2 linked regions of the Caenorhabditis elegans genome follow. The protein of the gene in region 1 purifies or fractionates together with the protein of each later gene. This does not show direct contact. Each region holds a gene or a part of one and is shown in the gene's direction. Other genes may lie near its edges.

Region 1 (7,409 bases):
CAGGCAATTGATCCACGTGGCGAAATCGAACATTATTGCTTGCAGAGTTCTGAAACTTGATTTGACGGACAGAAATGTCGTTTGGTCGTTTTCAGAAGAGATTCCAATGTTTCCATGTCTAAAAATTAGCAAAAAGTGATGACAACTCTACTCTTGTTTGCCAATTATTGCTGCGATCTCTCCAACAGTCACAATCCATCAGTAGATTCAGAAATATTCAAGAATCATCTCAATAGAATGCCATAAGTCCCCCGTGTTTTTCTTTCATGTATTTTATATAATCAGCTAAATAATTATTCATATTTCGATTTTTGTTTTCATATTTTATTGATTGAGTAATTCAGACTAGTGAACCCCGCCTCCCCGTCTTCTTTCCTTTCATAGCACACGAATTTTCTCGGTTGGTACAGTACATTCACATTGTTCTCAGAGATATCGAAATACATTTCAAATCAAATTTTATGCTTCTATGAACTTGTTTGTTTTCAGTTTGCAAAATATCTTTGAATTATCGATTCTTTGGTTTCTGTATCCAAATTGATTATTACTTATTTTCTAACTTACTAGTTACTTACCATGTTTTCTTTCAACACGAATTTCCAGATGAGACGAGTTGTAGCAGCTGCAATCCGTACAGAAAGAGCCTTCTCGACACGATTTTCCGCGTCGCAGCAGGTAACCATTTACCAAAAATATAATTTAGAATTCTTTGTTTCCAGAAACCAGTTGCATCTACTTCATCATCGTCGTCTGTTCCGGATCGTGCAACTCTTGAAAAAGGAACAGTCCAGCCAACAGTGTTGAAGCCATTCGTTTCCGCGTCACTTCAACATGAAGATTTATTTAATTTTGAAAAAATGGTCCATATCGATGAGATGTTTAAAGCAAGACTTCACTACGGACATAAGGTAGTCTATTTAAAGAAAGGCGGTTCTAACTGTTAAAAAAAATGAATGAAATACGTTTAAAAGTCGATTTCCCAATTTTCTTTTCTTCGAAAATTGCACTGGAAAATTACGAAAAAAACTTCGGGATTTTTTCGCATTTTTTAAAATTTATTTTAAGCTTGAGAAGTTGAATTAACAACTAATATAATTTTTTTTAGGTCGGAACAGTAAACAACAATATGAAGTGGGCCCTGTACGGTGAACGTCTTGGAGTTTGCCTCTTCGACCTCGATATTACCAAAAAATATCTCGTCAGAGCTCTAAATTTCGTTGCTCATGTGTCATTGCGCGGTGGAATGATTCTTTTTGTCACTTCCAATCGAGACACCATGTTTGATGTTGAGAAGGCAGCAGATGAGGTGAGACAGTGTGCATGGTGGTGTAGGGGTGAGAACACCAATCTATTGGAAAATGATTCATGGTTCGAGTTTTCATAACAGCAGTGATGTGAACATACTTTGATCCGATAATTAATAATCTTGCGAGATTATTTGTTTCTGCGGAATTTGCGATCCTGAGCTGTTTTTTTTTATTCAGAAAATATTCACCATTGTTTTCTAGTTGTGAATGTTACTGTAAAAATGTATGTCTTTTAAACAGTAATCTTTAAAAATCAAGCAAAAAAATTTTACAAAAAAAAATTTGAAAAGGTGTTATTTTCCAGGTTGGGCAATACTCTCACGTTCGAAAGTGGCAATCAGGAACTCTAACGAACACTCGACAACTTCTCGGAGCTTCAGTTCGACTTCCAGATGCTGTCTGCTTCCTGTCAACCCTCACATCACTCGGCGAAAACCATCCAGCCATCGTTGAAGCCGCAAAAATGGCGATTCCCACAATTGGAGTAGTTGACTCGAATTCGGATCCGGCTTACTTGACATATTTGGTTCCTGCAAACGATGATACACCACAATCCACTGAATATTTGCTCAGAATGTTCAAGGAAGCCGTTCGAAAAGGACAAGAAGAACGAAAACGTCAGCAGCAAGGAAAATAAATTTTAATTTTTAGTATTTAGTTTCAAGATTTCAAAATTTTTGATTAGATCTTTTGTTTTCCTTGTTTTCTGATTGTTTCTTCATTTTCTAAATATCCAGTTGTTTACCTATTTAAAAAATCAAAATATTGCTTTCAAATCGTAATTTTGAATCACTACTGTAAACGAACAGTGTTAGAACATATCTTTCTTTTTTTTTGGTTTTTTAAAATTATTTATACACCTTATCCCTTTTCAGATGCTCTCCAGGCAGCTGCGTTTTTTAATTTCAAGTCGAGCATTCTCATCGGCTGTTCAGGATGTTTCCTCGACTTCATCTGGCGAATCCATCGATACACGAAGAGAATTATGGCGAAAACCAGAAAATCCATTCATCAAAACTCCACAAGCTTGGGTTTCAAATTTGGATACCATCGAAGATGAGAAGCTCGGACTCGTGGATCTCCATCCAGACATTTTCAGAACATCACCGCGTATCGATATTCTACACCGTAACCTCACGTGGCAAAGTGTATATCGAAATGTGCAAATGACGAAAATGTTGACAAAAGCTGAAATGCCCGGAGGGGGTAGAAAGCCGTGGCCTCAAAAGAAGACTGGACGGGCTCACGTTGGTTCTATTCGTTCCCCACAATTTATTCGAGGAGGTTTCGCAAATGGTGTTCGTGGACCGAGAACGTGGTTCTACATGCTTCCAGACGCAGTCAGAATTCAGGGACTTTGTGTTGCTCTCACTCTAAAGCACACACAAGACGATTTGCATATTGTTGACAAAATTCAAAACTTACAGAATGGAGACCCTAAATATTGGATTGATGTAAGTTATCTATAGAAAAATCATTTTCTGTTTTAATTTCAAAAATTCCAGCTTTGCGAAGCTCGAAACTACGGATACTCTGTTCTTTTCGTTGATGATTGTGATGAGATTAGCGGTGGACTTGCTGAAGCTCAACAAGCTCTTCCGTGGCTCAATGTGATGCCAGTGTATGGTCTGAATTGCTTCTCATTAATGAAATACGATACTATTGTTCTGTCACGAAGTGCATTGGAAAGAGTTGAAGAACGACTTCTCACACAAATGCATAGAGCTGGGCCGATGAATAAGAAATACAGGTTAATATTTGGAAAATTAACAATTAAAAAACGTCACTTGTGTAGCACAGGGCTGGGACCAAAAAAATAATTTTGGATCAAAAAACAAAACAATTTAAATTTGCGAAAAACCAAAAAAAATTGAATTACTTTTCAAAAAACGCTGATAATTGAAAAATGTTTCGGTTTTTTGGTTTCAAAACCAAAAAATCAATTTTTCGTCAAAATACCAAAATAACCAATAAGGATACAGCCCTGGTGTAGCAGCAACGCTTTTTTCTTGAAATGAAACTTATTGAAAAACAATATTTTAAAAATTTTGAAAAAAATAGAAATAAAAGTAAACGAAAAAAAACAAAATAATACCAAGGTAACCGGTTAAAAATGTTTTTAGTTTTCATTTTTCCGATATTTCGAAACGAATTTTTGATTTTTCGAGAAATAGTCATCAGCATAAACAAAGTTAGAATTGCGTTTTATGGGTAACTTCCCGAACATTTTGTTCCCCGATTTTTAAAAATCGAACATATTTGTTTTAGATTTTGCAGTTTTTATTTTCTCAGAAAAAATCGAAAAGCCACTACACAAGTGAAAAAATTACTCCCAAAGAACTTTAGAGATAAATGGGAAATTTTCAGATATATGGACTACAAGGACAAGATTCTTCAAGAGGCGGAAGCAGAAGAGGATCCATTGATGCCACCAGTTGTTTGATTCGATATTTTGTTTTTTTGTAATTTAGAATTTTTAATAGGCTTATTTTTCTTTTTGTTTTTGATTGTTATTCTTATTATAAAAGTATCCTGAAAATAAAAATACAGAATTTCTATTCAAAATGTTTCAAAAATTGTTCAAAGTTCAATCCGTTCTATTTCCTCCTCGTTCTCACCAATGAGAAAAAAACGAATCAAAAATTTTCAGATTTTAAATAAAGATGACAGACGTTGATGATGATATTCTGATGATTGATGAGAAACAAGACACGTCAGAATCTCCTGAAGAAGAAAAATTCGATGCGAATGCATACATTTCGACACTCATCAAGTTTATGAAATCTATCGATAAAAGCACTGATAAAGAATTTTCTGAATTGGTTGCCAAGGTTTCATGAAATATGAATTGTGAAATCAATATCTCATCCATTTTTTCAGACATGGTCACTTTCTTCCAGCACAAACAACTTTTACACAGATTCTTTCACAATGGATTCGGGTAATGTTTCGAAACTCAATCCAAATATGCTGAATCCACAAAAACGAATTGCCGGAACTCAACGATTGATGTATGCTCCTCCACAGATTTTAAATAAATCTGGATTTGTAATAGACAAGTCTGGTGCTTCATCGTCCTCTGCTCCTGGTGGAATGGTAAGGGATTTTTAATTTTGGATCTATTTTCAAAATAAATTATGTTTTCAGAAGAAATTGAAGAAACTAGTGCCAGTTATTGACGATTCAATCTATTGTACAAGTGAACAGGTAAAATAATTAAATAAACAAATGTTATCATAAATATATATTTTCCAGCCCTGTGCAGTATGCCACGGAGTCTCATTAGCTGGAAATCAAGTTCTCGCTTGTAGAAGATGTCGAGATTGTTACCACATGGCATGCAGTATCCCTACAGTTTCGATTGAAGAAGCATCGGAACCTAGTTTCAAATATTACTGCAAAACATGTCTCGTTTCAAAGAAAGTTGTGAGTTTCTTGAAAGTCATTTTTTCTTTCACCTTTTTGAAATTTTTCAGATAGACTCCAATCGGTCACGATCCCCAAGTCCAGCGAAACTTGATGCGAAACGAATGAAAATGGGACGAGACAGAACGACAAAATTGTGAATTGATTATTCCACGATCTATTTATATTAAAAATTAACCCTGTATTTGATTAAAACAAGCATACACAAAACTTTTATTTATTCGATGAATTTTTGAATGAATGTATGATAATTTATGAATGATGTTGTTCAAGTGGAACTGCAGAACATTCACAATCAGTTCCATGTGGAACCATTACAAACTTGACACTCTCATCGGCTCCATCATCACAATCATCAAGAACTACTTTTCGAGTTGAAGTGGTGACCAATGTGCACACTTTACTATTTTGAACTCGTGGTGGAAAGCCATGGGTGCCACTCTGAAATTTAATTGGATTATTTTTGAATCGGAAAAAAAAGGAAATTCACCTCGCTAGTCTTACAGTAACCCTTGCAAAATGGCAATTCCACGTTTCCTCGGCATTCTTTTCCATTTGCATCAACTTGACGAAGTGGATTGAATCCTGGGACCAATCGCATTGCAAACTCGCATTCTTTTCCAGATTCAACCGAAATCTGAATTTAAAAATCACACTTTTGCTTTTAAATTAGTTGGAGATGTGATGCTTATTACCCAAGCGCGAAATTATTCCGATTTGCGCAAAAATTACGGTAACCGGTCTCGACACGACTTTTTTTGTTAAATACAATCGAGTGTGTGCCTTTAAAGAGTACTGTAACTTCAAATTTTTGTTGCAGAATTTTTATCGATTTTACATAGTTTTTCTAAAGATTTGTTGAAAATATTGAATATTTTTTTATTTTTATCTAATAGCTATGAAAAGTCGACAAAAGTTCCGCAGCAACGAAAGTTTAAAGTTACAGTACTCTTTAAAGGCACACACCCATTTTTACCTAATAAAAAAATTCGTGTCGAGACCGGGCACCGTATTTTTGGCCTAAAATTCGGAAAATTTCGCGCCTGGTTAATACTTAAATTTGGAAAAACTATCTGATCAATATTAAAAATTTTGTTAGAATATTGTTACATATTAAATTCATTTTAGAAGATATTTCAAAAAGTTACCAAAAATATATGAAGTATAGTGATCACGGGAAATATAAGCATTTTTTTCAAAAGAGCTTAACGTCAACAATGAAAAATAGTTCTAGGAGCTCAGAAATAGTTGTGGATCTAATTTGAAATTGTTAGCAGATGCCAAAGAGCACCACACCCACCACCAGAACACATTGTTTTCACCAACAAAAAAGACGCTCACAGCTCCAGATTGCACGAAAAGACGGGCGGGAAGAATTTAATTTGGAATCGAGAAGGCAAGAAATTCATCTCCGGAGCATCACATTTTCAGAAACAATGAATTTTGGATAAAAAGTGAAGGAAAAGGAAAAGAAGAGAAAAAGAAGGAGAAGACAGAGAGAAGAATCAGTGGTCAAAACCACACCCATTTGCCATTCTTTTTAGTTTTGATATATGAGATATATTCATATCAATCTAATCATTCTGATGACTTTATGACAACATCTTCCAACTTGATAATGTTTTTTGCAATTAACAAAATAATGATCACTTTCTGCATAAATTTTTTATTTTCTTTCTCGAAAAAATTTTCCCCGTACTTTTAATTTTTGAAATCAATGTATTACATACCCTATTCCTAAATTTTGAAACCGAATTCTTAGTATTAAATTTGTTAAATTTATATTCTTCTTTCTTTTTTCTTCCTGTTGAATGTTTTATTCGAGAGTTCCAAGATTATTTCGAGAAAATTTTTGTAGCAGTTACATGTATCTCAGATTTATGAATTTCTCGAAATGCGATTCATATAGTAATCCATTTTTCTCCTGAAAATTCTAAAAGGAGGTGCATAGAAAAATTAGGGCAAACCCTCATTAACTAATAGTCTAATTTACTAAATCACTCGTTTACGTAAGTGGCACTTTTACTTCGACGTCTAATTTACTAGCGATTTCACTTTCTCTCGTTTACTGAAAAAGAGTTCATTTACTTCAAGGTCTAATTTACTCATTTTTTACTCTCAGTCATTTACTAAGAAATAGTTCATTTACTTTGAACTCAGATTTACTAACTTGCTGACATTTTCTAGTTTACTAGTAGTATATGGACATTTTTCTGCATCATGTATTGTTCTTACATTAAACACATTTGTGATTAATTCGTAAAGAAAAAGAACTGAAGTATAATAATTTTTTTTTTATTTCCGCAAATTCCCTGTCACACCGCTTTTTTTCAGGAACCTCGTTTTCATCAAAACTTTTGATTTATCGAAATGAGAAGAGGATGTACATTGCAACTTGTCAACTTAAGCTACTAGTTGTTTAATTGTCCAGTTTTTGTGGCAAACACTCATTGACTACCTTCTCTTTGACTACCTTTTGCTCTTTGACTACCTTAGAATATTGACTACCTTTCGGCTCATTGACTACCTTTTGCTCTTTGACTACCTTAGATCATTGACTACCTTTCGGCTCATTGACTACCTTTATCTAATTTTTCAGAATTTTCAGTTTTTTTCCGCTTTCAGTTTTTTCCGCCGCAATCAGAAATTTCAAGAACATGTTAGTTTTTGATGTCT
Region 2 (7,391 bases), 5.9 Mb from region 1:
AATGATTTCTTGTCAGAAACTCAAAAAAATTAGAGTGGTATTTCACCCTACATTTGGTAAGTGAGAAAAACTTTATGTGGAGAGTACATCTTGTAAGGAAGCGTCGAATCCATTTTTAAAAATTATTCGATTTTTGATGTATTACAAAAAACATTTCGGTCAATCCTTTCAAAAGTTTGGCAATAAGCCGATCTGCAAAATTACAGCCTTGGGTAAGGACTTGTCGTAATCTTGGTAGACTACATAAAACTTTTTTTCAACGATGTGCCCATGCGCCCACCACTCTTCCGTATTTCTATTTAGTTTGAACATATAGAAAAAGATAATTGACGTATTAGATTTCTCTGATCTTTGTAAAAGATAATTTTTTCTCAATTAACAACATTGATGACGTCCATTAAATCCTTACAAAGTGTATGCGATATGTCGTTTGCTTTCCTTTTCAGGCTACATACGCTTTTTTTCGAGAGAAAGTTATCTAAACTGAATTGAAAAAATTAAAAGAAAGCTGTTTTCAAAAATTGAGTTTTCGCGATGTTTGCATTGTCAAAAATTCGAATGTCCAAAGTATTCAGTTATTATTGTTGTTTTTGGTATTGTTTTTGATTTACCAACAACCAAAAACCAAAACTGCCTGCAATCTTTTTCCATTTCTCTTATTTTGTTGCATTACCACCAACAAGTATTTCTCACACACATTTTCAATCGTAAACGCCTTCTCATTTCCATCTATTCTCATTTCAGTTTGACCTTACAACTAAAAATGTCAGAACTTCTTACTACGTACAGGCCAATTAAAATTCTTCTCCAACTTGATCCCAATCTGGGAAATAACTCATACAATGGTAGAGTAAAAATCGATTACGAGTTCACAGGAGAAACATCGGAGATCAAAATTCAAACATCTAGAGATTTTCAGTGGACTTCTGTCAGACTTGCCACGTTTTACGATTTCAATGAAGGATGTCCTGTGTGTAAGTTTTTAAACTTAAGTCTATTTAAAAGATTTGAATCAGTAAAATTTTGATTAATGTTGAGCAATCAACGTCCAAATAAAAAATGTTTTTAAGGCAGTCAACCTTTTTGGTAAATTGCCGAATTTTTCAAAAATGTGGACTTTTGTTTAAATATTTTTCCAAATTTCAGATGCAAGTGTTGATTGTGAAAACTATGTCCATGATGCCGAATCAGAGATACTGACTCTTCCATTGGGAAACCCCCTCACTCCTGAAACTACTGAAAATGGATTCTACATTGAATTAGAATGGACTGGACCTATAAATCCTCAGGGAGAAACTACTGGACTTTATGCAATTGATGAAAGTACTATTGAAGCAAATATGAAAGATGGGAATGCTCATAAAGTATTTCCATGTTATGAGGGAGGAGTTTCTGCAAAGTTCTGGCTGACTGTGATAACTGATGAAAGAACTAGAGTTGAAACTAATATGGTATGCTTTTGGAAAAGCAGAGTTTTGATTTTGATAAATGTTTCAGGATGACGCTGGGCACGAAGAATTCGAAGGAAGAGTGAAGAATAACTTTTTAAAAGAAGAAGAACTTACTATTGAAGATGTTTACATTTATGTCACACCAATTATCGATATGGAATAGTGTTTCCAATTTTTTTTGAACAATTAATTTACCGAATCAATGAATAAGTTTTTTTATTCATATATGTATGTGTTCCCTGGATGTTTCATAAGTATGACAAATTTACTAAATGTTCACGTGTGCTTGGGGGGTACGTATCAAGAAGTTGCTAGTTTCCGAAAATTTTTGGACTTGGCGTTTTTTTCTGATTTGTTAGGGGTCTCGAGTTAATCGTCCTATGTGGGTGAACTTCATAAAAATATTTTTTCTGCCTCTTCCTATATTAAATCCTGAAATTGCATTCTTGACAGAAATAAAAAATAAGGGCACGTTGTCGTAATGGGGTGTCCCGAGAAATGTGACTGCACTTTGAGAGCTTATATCTTGGCTTAGGGTTGGCGGTTTCTTGAGCAATTTGTTTCAATAGCTTATAAAAATAGCGCCTTCCATCGTCATCATTGTGGGGGAGCTTTTGGGAAGGCTAAAACACTGATTTGAGCGGAATTCTGGAGTATGGTCGAAATGGATGTATTCTTTGTACTGACGAATTTCATGTTTTTTCAGCCCCAAATCTTCAGTTTTTCTGACATTTGGTTCCAATTTGTGCGCAAGAGAGAACTTCGTATTTCCAATTTTTTGAAACTATTTTGAAAAAAATTGGCGCACTTTCCAAAATGTAGGCCATCATTCAATTTTTGCAAAATCAAAAAGATTGATTAAACGTGAAAAACTTTTCTACCACTCTCTCTCTTTCTCTATTTTTGGTGATGAATTCGATAATTTTCATTTCTTATTTTTAATAACGTGAGGAAAACTCAATTTTGAAGACTTTTCGAGATTTTTACTTTTTCCCTAATCTAATTGAGGGCCGCACTTTTTGAACATGTTGGCTACTTTTAACCTGACTTCCAGCAGGACAGGCTGGAGGCCTGCAATGCTATTGTATTTCACTCAAACCCAAAAATCAGGGATTAGGGCCACCTTCTTACTCTTTGAAACTTTAGGCCTTTTCTATCCCTACACCCAGCAGAGCAGGCTGGAGGCCTTCTCTGAGAGGTATGTTTCTATAACTACGTATGTTTTTGGAAAAGTAATGAAAAAGGTCACCTAGGTCAGTTAACCGGATTGAGGGCCAGAGGCCCGAATACACAAAACGTATTGGACAGCCGTTAAGCCTATACTGAGCCCAAAAACTCGAGTTGAGAGCCACAGGCCCGAATACACGAAGAAGTGTTGGAGATCCGTCAAGCCTATTCTTAGCATAATAATTCAGTTCGAGTGTCGCAAGCCCAAATAGACGCAGATGCGTTGGACAACTGTTAAGCCTATTTTAAGCAAAAAAATTTGAAAAAATTTTTATTTCTAAAATTAATATTAAACTAAATTTGGCCGGTCTTGACAAACTTCAGCACATTTACTTGGCATTTACTCAACACTTGACTAAACTTTAGCGAATAAAGCGAATTATTCTTGAGTTACTCTACGCCGAACTAAACTGCGAAGCCTAGCAACTCTCCGATTTGCTAGTCAAGATAAGTTTATAAATTCAAAACAATGGCATTGAAATGTTTTGTTTATTTTTTTTCTGATTTTCCGAGGAGAAAATATTTACAAATTCAATCGATGTTTTTTCATTTTTCTCTATCTCTTACGGGTGCACGTGTTCCTCCTACAAACCAGTTTTCACTCGTATCAAACTGTCGAGGCCGTCTCATTTCTGTCATTTATTCTCTGATTCTATTGAAATATGTCGGAACTTCTCACCACATATCGGCCGACTAGATACATGCTCCAACTCGATCCAAATATGGCAAACAAGACTTACTGCGGAAAAGTGAGAGTCGACTATGAATTCACTGCAGAAACTTCGGAAATCAAAATTCAAGCATCAAGGGATTTTCAATGGACTTCTATTAGGCTGATCAATTTTTACGCTGTATACCTGGAATGTCCCATTTGTAAGTTAATTTAAATTTTGAAACGGTTTTTTTTTTGGTTTTTTTCTCAATAGTAATTGTGCTGAAAAAATTATGGACTCAAATTTTGAATTTCAAGACATTACAAAACAATACAACTTCCCAAGTTTCAGATGCAAGTGTGTTATGTGACGACTATAACCATGATCTGGAATCTGAGATTCTTACACTTTCACTGGACACACCGCTAACCCCAGACAATACACAAAATGGATTCTACATTGAATTAGAATTTACTGGACCCATAATTATTGCAGGGCAAACTACTGGCCTCTTTGCGGTTGATGAGAACTCAATTACGGCAAATATGAAAGATGGAAATGCACATAAAGTTGCACCATGTTATGAAGGTGTTGCTATCAAGACCTGGCTGACTGTGATAGGTGGTGAAGGATCACAGGTAGAAACTAACTTGGTAAGGATTTCGATATCTTCAGCACATTAAAAAAAAATCAATTTCCGCATCAAACAAACATAATCCTATTTTTGTATATTTTTCAGAATAGCGATGGACAGGAAGACTTTGAAGGTCGCGTCAAGAAGAACTTCATAACGGATGAGGAAATTACTATTGAAAATCTATGCATTAATGTTTCTAATTTTTCTTGAAACATCTTTTTTTATGTGAATAGATTAATATTTCTAATTTTTTCTACCCCAATTTCTATTTTGCCATAAAGATTTTCCAAGTATTGGAATTCCGATTTTATTTCAGTTATATCACAAGAAAAATAGGAAAAACAATTATAGCACCAAACAAAGCAAACACCAGATTATTCGATATCTGCAAAATCCGGAAGTCTATTCAAGGTGGGCCATAGTTATACGGACTACTTCTCTTTTCATAGAGGTGAATAATCTAGGTTAGAATATACTATAAATCATCAAATAATTTGCAGGCATAATTTAATAAGATTGAGAAAAATGAAACCAAATTTGCGTGGTTCATTTTGATCAGCATGTGACTTATTTTGTTTCTTTTTCCATTTTAATAGCACACATTTTTGAGAATCTATTTAACTTGTTCCACCACGCAGTGTAGGCGTAACAATTTCAAAGACAGCCAACCTCGTGTGATTCAGATCTAATTGAGTCAAAGCTCGAGGTAACTGAATTTTCAGACCTCCGATTTTCCATGTTCCGAATAATATTTTCAAATGCGTAATAACATCTGATTATTATTATTATTTGTTTTCGAGCCATTTTTCAGCAATAAATTTTTATCAGTTCCTCATTTCGGGTAAGTTTTTTGTTTTAAATTAAAGTTCGAAACACTAAACTTTAAAACATTCAACTTGCTGATTATTTGTCTGCTCTTGTGATTTTGCACTTAATTTTATAATGGTATGTATATAAACATAATAGAATTTACACGTAATAAGCAGAATTTATATCAAATAGAATAGCATTTAACATCTGTCATACCAATAATCCATAACACCCAATGACTTCTACAGCTCCCCCGGAAAGTGAATCTTCGGATGACATTGGTCCACCTGCGGAACTTGGTCCGATTATCCGTAGTTATCACTTTTACAATGATCTGGTTGCCGGTGTATTAAGCATTATGCTCAATGTTCTTGTGATATTAGTATTTACTACACGGATATCAACTGCTTCAAAACTATTCAAAAAAGTGATGACAGTTACAAAACTTGTCGAGATGTTGTTTAGCGCAAGTTATATTTTGACAGCTCCGGTAAGTCAACTTCTGATGAGTAACGGTGATGGGTGGCATTTAATCAAAATAATGTATTGTAATTTCAGGTATTCACATCAATTTCGGTCGATGATTCATTTACTGGTCTTATGATTGTTAATACTGGGTGGCAATTCAATTTCTATTATAGTCAAATTGTTCTTGCCGCGGCACTTGTTTTTCTAACTCAACAAATTTTTCTAGCCCCTTGGCTTTACTACATTAGATATGATCAAGTTTGCAAGTATGTTTTAGATGTTCTAACTCAATTTACAAGATTGAAGTTATTTTCCAGAAAACATGGTGTTAGATGTATCGATTTCTTAAAAATGCTAATTATCAATTTAATTTTTCAAGTTCTCACATCAGTGAGCCTTTGCTTTTCGTCTTTCCCAACTAGTAAGGACATAACCGAGCTTCAATTTGTTGCCAATAAGTTTACTGGTTCAAACTCTGCATTTCTTCTTTTATCATATACGGTTGAAAAACTTTGAAGAATAATAAAACGGGTTTTTTTTTTCAGAAAGAAGTGGATACTGTCAGGGAACAGATTGAACACGTCGGATCAATAATGTCTGCGGTTGCTTACGTATTAACTTTAATCTTGTCAATTTTGGTCATGATTTTGTGCACGATAAAAATCAATTTAAAAGTTCGAGAATCAAAAAACTCAAGTAACAATTTATTGGTACTGCAGAAGAAGATGAATCGAGTTTTATTGGCACAGGTAATCCTTTAGATTTTACTCTATATTCTTTAATTTCAACATTTTCAGTTCTTCTGTCCATTAATATTCATTCAAGCTCCATTCTACTATTCAGTCCTTGGTCCGATAGTTGGACTTTCCCAAGGCCTTGTTACAGACCTTCTCCCTCTCCTTTTTGCCTGGTCACCTGTTGTAAACACCCTTTTTATATTCATTCTAAATTCGGAAATTCGAAATGCATTGATCGGAAAACAACATGTATCAACTTCTGAAGTTCGGTCATTTGCAAATAAAAGCTGATTCTAAATCAAAAAATCTTTTTTTTCTGTATCATTTGCGTCTGTGTTTTTGTCTCTTAACATTGGGTTTATTTGTTTGTTGGTTTCTTACCACATTTCTGGATATTTTTAATAAATCGATTTATTTGTGAATATGTTTTGTCTTACAATTAAATCTTTTGCTCAAGACATCGACAATTTTTCGGTAGGTTTTTTCTAATAATGAAGCAAACATGTTACATTCTGAAGTGCTCACAAATTGGCGTTGAACTAAATTAAATTTTTAAAATATAATTTTAACATAGTCTACATAGTTGAAGAATAATTCCAATTTATGTTGTGTTGTAAGTAGCATTTTATTTGTGACTGATAGTGAGATCAACTATACAACCCGGTTAATATCATCACCCAGTCAGTATAGATGTAACACATTTGCTAGTGGCATGAGTCAATGGAGTATGTTTCCCTTGATAATTTAATTGTCAGGTGCTGGATTAAGTATCGAGTATTATTATTTGTATCAATATTGGAAACTCGCGCCAATTATTCGTTTGCAGACTCACATTATTGAACTATGAATTTTGAAAAGTTCTTGTTTCCTCCACCGCGTAAGATTTTTTTTATTGAAATAAATGAAACTTTAAATAAGGAGCTTTTACATTTTTATTTCCAGCTCTACCTGGGAATAGAACATCAATGCAGCTGGGGCCACCGTCTGAGCTTGCACCAGTTATCCAGAGATATCATTTTTACAACGATCTTATTGCTGGAATTTTAAGTATCACAATTGGTAGTTTGCTCATTTTTCTAGTCACAACTAGAATTTCAACGCCCACGAGATTATTCAAGAAAGTTCAAGCAATTTCAAAGTGCACGGAGATTTTGTTTAGCGCGAGTTATATTCTGACAGCTCCGGTAGGTATATTTTTAAGCCGTTCAGTTTTCATTTGTTTTTTTTTTCTGAAAATTTTTTAGGTATTCACATCAATTGTAATGAACGATACATTTTCTGGTCTAATGATTGTCAACACTGGATGGCAATTCAATTTTCATTTCAGTCAAATATTTCTTTCAGCAGCTCTATTTTTACTCACTGAGCAAATATTTCTAGCGCCATGGCATTATTATATTAGATATGC

Evidence for each region.
Region 2: the proteins of phf-30 (region 1) and F47B8.8 fractionate together in Caenorhabditis elegans (co-fractionation; one large-scale study listed by BioGRID). This does not show direct contact.

The regions. Positions count from the first base shown.
Region 1 is NC_003283.11:8,465,083-8,472,491, forward strand, and holds phf-30 (PHD-type domain-containing protein), read left to right. Parts: upstream 1-3,957; 5' UTR 3,958-3,970; coding exon 3,971-4,138; intron 4,139-4,187; coding exon 4,188-4,403; intron 4,404-4,454; coding exon 4,455-4,514; intron 4,515-4,562; coding exon 4,563-4,733; intron 4,734-4,783; coding exon 4,784-4,873; 3' UTR 4,874-4,985; downstream 4,986-7,409. Other genes in the region: natc-1 (Protein MAK10 homolog), read left to right, coding at 4-139; mrps-2 (Small ribosomal subunit protein uS2m), read left to right, coding at 604-675, 720-908, 1,106-1,306, 1,612-1,944; mrpl-4 (Large ribosomal subunit protein uL4m), read left to right, coding at 2,183-2,761, 2,813-3,057, 3,675-3,750; gplb-1 (Glycoprotein hormone subunit beta domain-containing protein), read right to left, coding at 4,986-5,174, 5,224-5,370, 5,882-5,923.
Region 2 is NC_003283.11:14,328,403-14,335,793, forward strand, and holds F47B8.8 (Aminopeptidase N-like N-terminal domain-containing protein), read left to right. Parts: upstream 1-3,271; 5' UTR 3,272-3,340; coding exon 3,341-3,551; intron 3,552-3,682; coding exon 3,683-3,984; intron 3,985-4,070; coding exon 4,071-4,178; 3' UTR 4,179-4,265; downstream 4,266-7,391. Other genes in the region: pepm-1 (Aminopeptidase N-like N-terminal domain-containing protein), read left to right, coding at 764-974, 1,147-1,451, 1,498-1,614; srm-4 (Serpentine Receptor, class M), read left to right, coding at 5,014-5,268, 5,337-5,512, 5,564-5,747, 5,792-5,995, 6,044-6,274; srm-5 (Serpentine Receptor, class M), read left to right, coding at 6,827-6,860, 6,926-7,167, 7,228-7,391.